Linked DNA regions of Danio rerio. The protein of the gene in region 1 interacts with the protein of each later gene in a pairwise test. Links are inferred from orthologs where the notes say so. Each region holds a gene or a part of one and is shown in the gene's direction. Other genes may lie near its edges. The genes, in order: ptpn11b and gab2.

Evidence for each region.
Region 2: the proteins of ptpn11b (region 1) and gab2 interact in binary tests that used the Homo sapiens proteins (3 or more experiments, as listed by UniProt). The link is inferred for Danio rerio from reciprocal best matches to the Homo sapiens genes PTPN11 and GAB2.

What each region holds. Positions count from the first base shown.
Region 1 is NC_133198.1:26,857,042-26,861,492, forward strand, and holds the start of ptpn11b (tyrosine-protein phosphatase non-receptor type 11b), read left to right. Parts: upstream 1-1,565; 5' UTR 1,566-1,720; coding exon 1,721-1,734; intron 1,735-4,451. UniProt on the Homo sapiens protein: Acts downstream of various receptor and cytoplasmic protein tyrosine kinases to participate in the signal transduction from the cell surface to the nucleus. Positively regulates MAPK signal transduction pathway. Dephosphorylates GAB1, ARHGAP35 and EGFR.
Region 2 is NC_133190.1:10,638,444-10,642,269, reverse strand, and holds part of gab2 (GRB2-associated-binding protein 2), read left to right. Parts: exon of another isoform or gene 1-1,247; coding exon 1,248-1,345; intron 1,346-3,248; coding exon 3,249-3,531; intron 3,532-3,645; coding exon 3,646-3,736; intron 3,737-3,826. UniProt on the Homo sapiens protein: Adapter protein which acts downstream of several membrane receptors including cytokine, antigen, hormone, cell matrix and growth factor receptors to regulate multiple signaling pathways.

The sequences.
Region 1 (4,451 bases):
TCCTAAAGTATAAAGTTACACATACACATTGTTTGCATTGGCTCTTATACAGCGCACAGAAAACACCTGCTCAGACTCTGTTCAGAAGGAGAAATCCATAGATAAAGCCTTGCGTTTCAGCAAATTGCATAACCGTGTCGGCCAGCAGATTAATCTCCCGCAGGCGGGTGACGTCATGCTAGCCTGACACTGATGCCACCTTCAAATCACCCCGACGCAAAACTGGGTGAGACCCAAATGGAAACTGCTGAAAAAACACACTGGGCTTTTCTCCCCTACTTAAAATAAGAGCATTGCAGCTTTATTAATAGATTATTAATAAACATCTCTGGAAATGAAATAGAGGTGATAACTACTGTACATGGAAAGAACTGCTAAAATAAGAGTGTGATGATGACTGGAGTGACAGAAGTGAATATATAGAATGTACATCACTTCATCACAACCCTCTCTGAGGTGCACTTTGGAAATTTAACCGTTTAACTGGCATTGCAACTGTTTGTCCAAAGATTAGCATTAAACTTTTTTTTTTTAAATCTAAATTTGCTTAGAGGGCTGTCAGGAACACAATTTAACCAAAGAAATTGGTGAAAATGTTCTCGTAGTTTTAAAAAGTCAGACAGTAAAGTGACAATCGATCCTAAACAATTATATAATATCAAATAAAAACAGTTTGGAATATTTTATGTTTTCATTATTTGTCTTCTTGGCAGATATTGGTCCTTGATAGGGTTTTATTAATACTAAAAATGCATATATAAGGCAATAATATAAATAAATAAATAAAGTACAAAATATATATTTAAAAGATTCATCAATATTATGCATTTCTTTCCTGGATTATCATTCTATATAATTAATACAAACTCTATATTATTACAAGTATAATGCTTTAAAAAAAGGCTCTACAGTGGTTCTTTGCCTTGTAATCATACAGTAGGAGACCCAATTTAGGTGATAAACTATAAAGAACTGTAATGGTTTTCTATTGGTTTTTTGGGGTGGTTAATGTATTGTAAAACAATAAATAACATTAGGTGGTTCCTTTATGATTACAAGCCAGAAAACAAACACTTTTAGTCATACACAGAAGTTTTACTACTCCAAAGAACCACTGGAGAAACATTATAGCTTCTTTAATCTAATTAAAATGTGTCCATTTAGCAGTATTGTTTTTTGTTTGTTTGTTTGTTTGTTTGTTTGTTTGCAGAATAATCTCTTATAGCCTATATGATTTAAATACACATAGTATTTAGGTGTATGATATGACTTTAGGCCTGCAGCTCATTTGTAATTATAAACAAACTGGATTGCAAATCCCATCATCCCATTCTGAGGAGTAGAGCCAGTAAAAGGAATCACGGTGTCAACTGGTGGCTGCCTGCTGGCTTCATTCTCCAACTAATCCTGTCACAATGTCCCAAGAACGAGCACGAGCTTTATAATACCTGACTTTTTGGAGATGTCTGGATGAAGTTTTTCCAGTGTGCTGTCAGCAGTGTGAATCGGAGAGCGGGAGGCGGAGGGAGAGAGCGCGAGTCCGGCGCTGTGAGTCTGTGTGTGACGCCCCTCGATCGCGCTCCGCTCCGCTGCAGTGACTCGGCGAAGGAGGACCGTTTTATTACACTTTCCCCTCCAGTCCTAGCGGTGCTCACACACACACAAACACGCACGCACACACACGCACGCACACACACATCTGACAGCTCTCAGGACGGCCATGACGTCTCGAAGGTAAGCCGAAGGCTACATTAATAAGTGCAGGAGCGGGTAGTGATGGTGACTGTAACTGTATGAATGAATCGAGCACGACACGCAGCTCAGTCTGTAGGACTCGGTTTCTGATCCTCTCGATCTGGCCCAATATATGTAACGTTACAGTATGTGTGTTCGCTTTTGTGCAGTGTTTATAAATATCGTGTAGTCTATCTTTCCGTTTATTTCGGTTGTTTACAAACGCTTTCGCTACCGGATATCGAATATGAATATCAGCAGCGCAAAGTCACTGTAACAGTGTGTCTTGCATGCAGTTTAAACTGTGCTTAATTAGTTTACTGTGCCAGTTTATTCGGAGACTTATGGTAACGACATCCTAATGTAACTGTACATCGTGTGCTGAAATAACAGTTTTAAAACACTTTAAAGCTAGATGAAATAGATTTGAGGAAAATAATGATATTAATAAAAATAGCCTTGTTGAAAGTTATAAGCATCGCTTAAAATATCTTTAGACAGAATTATGAATATTTTTTCTAATTTAAAATATTTACAGTGGGTGATCTTGTAAAATTTCTAATTTGTAGCAATGTGTTTCTGGGTTGGGACCATTTCATACACAATAGCTACATTTGATTGGACAGCAATGACCTATTTCAAAAATAAGAGTCTCCATGTAAAGCTGCTCATCTCAAACACAAAACGTCTCTTTACGTTAAACAACGTATTTCAAACAGGGAGAGTATGAATATTTAGCCAGGTAAGCCTTGAGGAATTTTGTAACTGGTTGCATGTTGCTAAACCTCTCGGTTTTAAATTTAGCCAGGCTTTAAACTTTAGTGTGTGTCTAACTTAACTGAAGTTTGCACATTCTTCTGTGACAACTTGTGACATGGTCCTTATATTTTCACTTTGAATATTTGGTCTAAAATCACATGTAAATTTGACTTCAAAACAACATTAGCTATACCTTGATAGACATTGGCTGCTAATATGATTTCATAATTAGAATTTGCAAATAATTCCTCTCTAAAATTATATTATTTAGGAGAAAGTCTGAATGTGTGTATATAAAACCAACTTTACACCAATCTTAAAGTGATAGTTCACCAGCAAATGAAAATGTAGGCCTACAATTTCCTCACACTCACGTGGTCCAAATCTTTAGTTTCTTTATTCTGTTGAAGATATTTTGAAGCAAGCAATTGTAACCATTGATGTTGTACTCTATGTTATTTGTTTTTTCTACTATGGAGGACAACAATAGTTTTCTTCAAAATATCTTATTTTGTGGCTTAGAACAGACTTAGAACAAGTGAAGCTGTTCATTTAAAGCACCGTGAGTCAAGTGCAGTGATCTGATTTGTTTCCAAAAGTTGGCCAAATGATTCTTAATGGGCCTATTTAATTCTAAAAGGTCAAATCTAAACATGGAGATAAAACAGAGGACTTGTAAATTTCAACAAATGAATATTTAGCCAGGTAAGCCTTGAGGAATTTTGTAACTGGTTGCATGTTGCTAAACATCTTGGTTTTAAATTTAGCCAAGGTTCAACTTTTAGTGTGTGTCTAAGAGACTCATTAAAAGGGATAGTTTACCAGCAAATGAAAATGTAGGCCTACATTTTACTCACACCCAAGTGGCCAAAACCTTTATGAGTTTTTTATTCTGTTGAAAACGAATTAAGATATTTTGAAGCAAAATGAAACCTTGTAACCATTGATGACGTCTTCTATTGTATTTGTTTTTCTTACTATGGAGGATGACATCAATTGTAACTGGTTTCCAGCACTCTTCAAAATATCTTATTTTGTGTTCAACAGAAGAAAGAAACTTTAGAATAAGTGAAGGTGAGTAAATTATGCCAACTTTCGGTTTTCAAAGAACTGTCCGTTTAAAGCACTGTGATGTAAGTCAAGTGCGGTGACCTGATTTGTTTCCAAAAGTTGGACATATGATTATACATAGGCCTTTTTATTTCTAAAAGGTCAAATCTAAACATAAATGGAGATATTGACAAGTTTATTGCATCTGCACAAAAAGCTGAAGCACGCAGATCAGTTATTGTCAGAGTTTGCACAGGTGGCCTTGGGTGAAAATGGGAAAAGACTGTTACTTTACATCAACATCATATTTCAAGATTCGGTGCTGGTGGTACAGTAGCTTCTCCACCAGCTTTCATTTGTCAGAGTAATAGTCTGTGAGCCTTTGGCCTTTACTCAGTCTTTGCATCATCTGTTATATAAATAATTCTGCCGCCAACAATTACCATTGACTATTATTAGCATCATTAGATTATCATTACTGGTGTCCTTCTCAATAACATTAAAAGAATAGTTCACTCAAATATGTTAACTCTGTCACCATGTATTATTATAAACACAACTTTTTTTCTCTAATAATGCAGAGTAGAGATGTTAGGCAGGTTCTAAGGCTCAGATACCATACCTTCATTCCATATGTTTTCATGCTGTGATAGAGTGACCATCTTTGGAGTTGCATGAAGGGGGAAAATTCATATTAAAGCAAAAAAGTAGGTGAATCTTGGTATTTCTTTTTGTAGAGATCTGTACTGTATGAAATCTGGTCTGATTTAACAGGACATAATGGAGGATGAATATGTTTTATGTGCAAAAGTGACAGGGATCTGTTTTGCGTTAATGCTATGGAAACAGGAAACTAAGCATTATTTTCATTTCAGATTTACATAGATTACATTTACAAATGCTTTTTT
Region 2 (3,826 bases), on another chromosome or scaffold:
GGATTTTGTAAGTGGAGAAACTGAACACTTCAATATTGAGAAAACAGTTAAACAGACCATCTGCAGCACGAGGATGAGCATCTTGTTCACTTTAACCTCTTTTCATCTTGTCTTGTCTCCTGTGTCTTGCTCATTTTAACAGTTTAATTCTCTCAAATTTGTCTCCTTGTTTTTGGTCTTGCTTAATACATGTTTTTTTCCTCTCATGTTGTTTTTGTTTTTTGACAAACCTGCCATTTTAAAACAGAAAACCCAGAGTTTCGTTCATTTACCCTTTTCCCATTTTTATTTCTCTTCTCATCTCTATTTCTCCACATTTTTAATCTAGTCTCTCCTTTAATCGGTTTCTTTAAATCCTGACATCACATTTGGTCTTAAGCTCACCTGGTCTCACTTAGTTTCCTCTCATATCTCCTTTTTTATTTTGGTTTCACTTCTAATCTTGTCATCTCTCGTCTCACATTTGGTTTAATCTTGTCTATGTTGGTTTCATGTGTTCTTTTTTTGCAGATTGTGTCATTTCTCACACTTGTCTCACATTACCTCTATTTTTTCCATCACGTGTCATGTTACCTTTCATATCTTCTCATTCTTTCTCCTCCTTATTTATTCTCTTTTTTATGTGCATCTTTCAGTTTACTATCATCCTTGTCTTTCCTTTTGTTCCCATTTCCACCCATATTCTCTTGTCTCTCTCATCTTGTCTCTTCATCTCTAATTCTCCTTTATTAGTGTTATGTTTTTGCAGAGTTCTCTCAGACGTTTGTCACTCTTTTCCCATTCTACAAAAGCTAATCCTGACCCCTCGGCTCTCTTTCCTTCTCATTTTTTTTTTCTTCTAAATGTACACATCTGATTTGAAACTGAGAGGCAATCTGGTCAAGGTTTACTCTGCTCTGCTACGAGGCTAATGAAATTCAAGCCATGCAGGCAGACCCAGAATGGCTTGTTCCGGCCTGATAAGCTGCAAGGGGGGAAAAAAATGAGCAGACACAATTCAGTGATTTCCTAGTGGTTTGTGTTCAGCAAGGCCAGACTAGTGTGTCTACAGGAACAGGAAGTGACCTTTTGACCATCCTTGCCTGATTCCCACACCTGCGTTTGGTGGCCATGTTCTCAAATAAAGCAGAATTTATAAAGGAACAGAAGAGTGGTCTGATATCTGATGGCTTTTCTTAGATTACTTTGTACCTCAGGCTTATTACTTGGTGGATTTATTTCTACATTTTCTTGCTCCTCTGTTTCAGGATCCTCGTTTGAAACCAGCAGTCACCAGAGGCCAGTCTATTTTAACAACTCTGGTCAGTCGGTGGAGTCTGTAAACGATGGATTCAGTTCTTACCTGGTAAAGCAGCTTTCTAGAACAATTGCATGACACATTTTCAAGGTCTATAAATGCTAACTTTTGAAAACGCTCTGTATTACATTCAGCATTTAGGCAAGGACTTGGAAAACAAAATACAAGACTGTTTGTGCAGACAAATCATCTTGCATGAATAATACAGCCAATACAGTTATTTTAACAGATACTGTAGATGTAAACTGGGACAAAACCTCAAAAATGTGAAGACTCTTTGTTGTGTAAACACATTATTATAATTAATTTGAAGAAAATGGTGCCATTTGAATGACAACGCCAACCTAATTTCACCAAGTAGACATCGGGGTTGATCCTGGAACGACATTTCAATCAGCCAATTAGAATTAAGGCATATGTTTACCGTTTATGTTATGTCCAGGCTCATGGTTAGGTTTTTGCACTTCTACATGATTGTTATAACTAATATTCCCATCTGACCTTAGGAGTAATTTACACTTATGGTTAGGTTAAGGGGTAGGGATTAGGTATGGATTGCATTTTCCAACAAACATGATGTTCCAGGATCAACATACTCACCGGCCACTTTATTAGGTACACCTGTCCAACTGCTTGCTAACACACATTTTTAATCAGCCAATCACATGGCAGCAACGCAATGCATTTAGTCATGTAGACATGGTCAAGACGATCTGCTGCAGTTCAATCCATGCATCAGATTGGGGAGGAAAACTGATTTAAGTGACTTTGAATAAGGGCATGGTTGTTGGTGCCAGACTGGCTGGTCTGAGTATTTCACTGCTGATCTACTGGGATTTTCATGCACAACCATCTCTAAGGTTTACAGAGAATGCTTGTTAAAAGAGAAAATATCCAGTGAGCGGTAGTTCTGTGGGTGCAAATGCCTTGTTGATGCCAGCGGAGAACGGCCAGACTGGTTTGAAAGGCAACAGTATCTCACATAACCACTCGTTACAACCGAGGTATGCAGAAGAGCATTTCTGAATGCACAACAAGTCCTTAAGGCGGATGGGCTACAGCAGCAGAAGACCACACCAGATGAACATGTCAGTTCACTATTCTCAAATCGCTTCCACAGTCACCAGAACCCAATCCAATAGAGCACTTTTGGGATGTGGTGGAACAGGAGATTTGCATCATGGATGTGCAGCTGACAAATCTACAGCAACTGTGTAATGCTATCATGTCAATATGGAGCAAAATCTCTGAGGAATATTTCCAGTAGCTTGTTGAATCTGTGCCACTATGGATTAAGGCAGGTCTGAAGACAAAATGTAGTCCAACCCGGTACTAGTAAGGTGTACCTAATAAAGTGGCCGGTGAGTGTAGATTTTAATCCAGAATCGCATCATACTGGGCAAAATTATGAAATGCTGTATGATAACATCTGAACTTGTAAGAAATCAACTTTAGCAGCATAAACCCAAGTGGGTATTTTTTGAAGTTGAATGTTAAAAGGTCAGAAGAAAATGATCTAATAGCTTTACAAATATAATTGTAACAGAGCACATTTTTCACGGTAAGTGCTTTGTGCAGTGTAATAAATTTAATTATACATGTGTGATTCTTTCTCTTTTTTTACATTTCTTTAGACACCATAATTGGCACAAAAAGATTTTGTTTATTATATTTTATTTTACAATTAACTTTAAATATAAAGAATCACATCTATAGTGTGTAAGTACAGATCACCAGTAATTAAGTTCAGTGTCCTGTTAATTATAGCTCTAGTAAGTCATAAAGACACAAATGACACCATTTCCTGATAATGACCTCATAACTCACAAAGTCACAAACTGACAATAACAAGTCTATTCAAAGTACGCAGGAACAAATGGTGTGTGTCACAGTGGTTTCCACCACTGATCTGGAAACTGTGTAAGCTGGATTGTTCTTCTTTCTTTTACAGAGAACTAAAGCCCCATTGACCCGCTCTGATAGTGCCGGCTCTGATGATAACTATGTACCCATGAATCCCGGCTCGTCCTCCTCCCCTCTCAGTGCTGCCCTGGCTGACAGTCCCAAAAATAACTATATTCCCATGAGCCCAGGTCCTCACCATTTTGATTTCCCAGGTTTCTCGGCAACATTACCAGCCAGGAAGGGTAGTACAGCATCATTGTGTCTCCGACCGGGGCGTCTCAGCGACGTCACACCACCACCAATCAACCGCAACCTGAAACCAAGGACAGGTGAGCACTGGCAAAACTACTCGTGTTTGTCTTCTGTAACTTTAATAACGTTTGGTAAAATGCTAAAATGTGTATCTTTTAAAACATAAAAGATTGTTTAACTTTGTTTTGCAGCAAAACCAACACCTCTCGATTTGAGGAACAATGGCATCATTGATGAACTTCCTTTCAAGAGTCCTATTACCATGTCTTGGACAAGGCCAATGTGAGTCTCTCTCACAATTTAGAAAAAAAAAAAAATTTAATACTTTTTAAAGCGCCATAATTTTAAGTCAAGCACCTTTGTCATTCATAA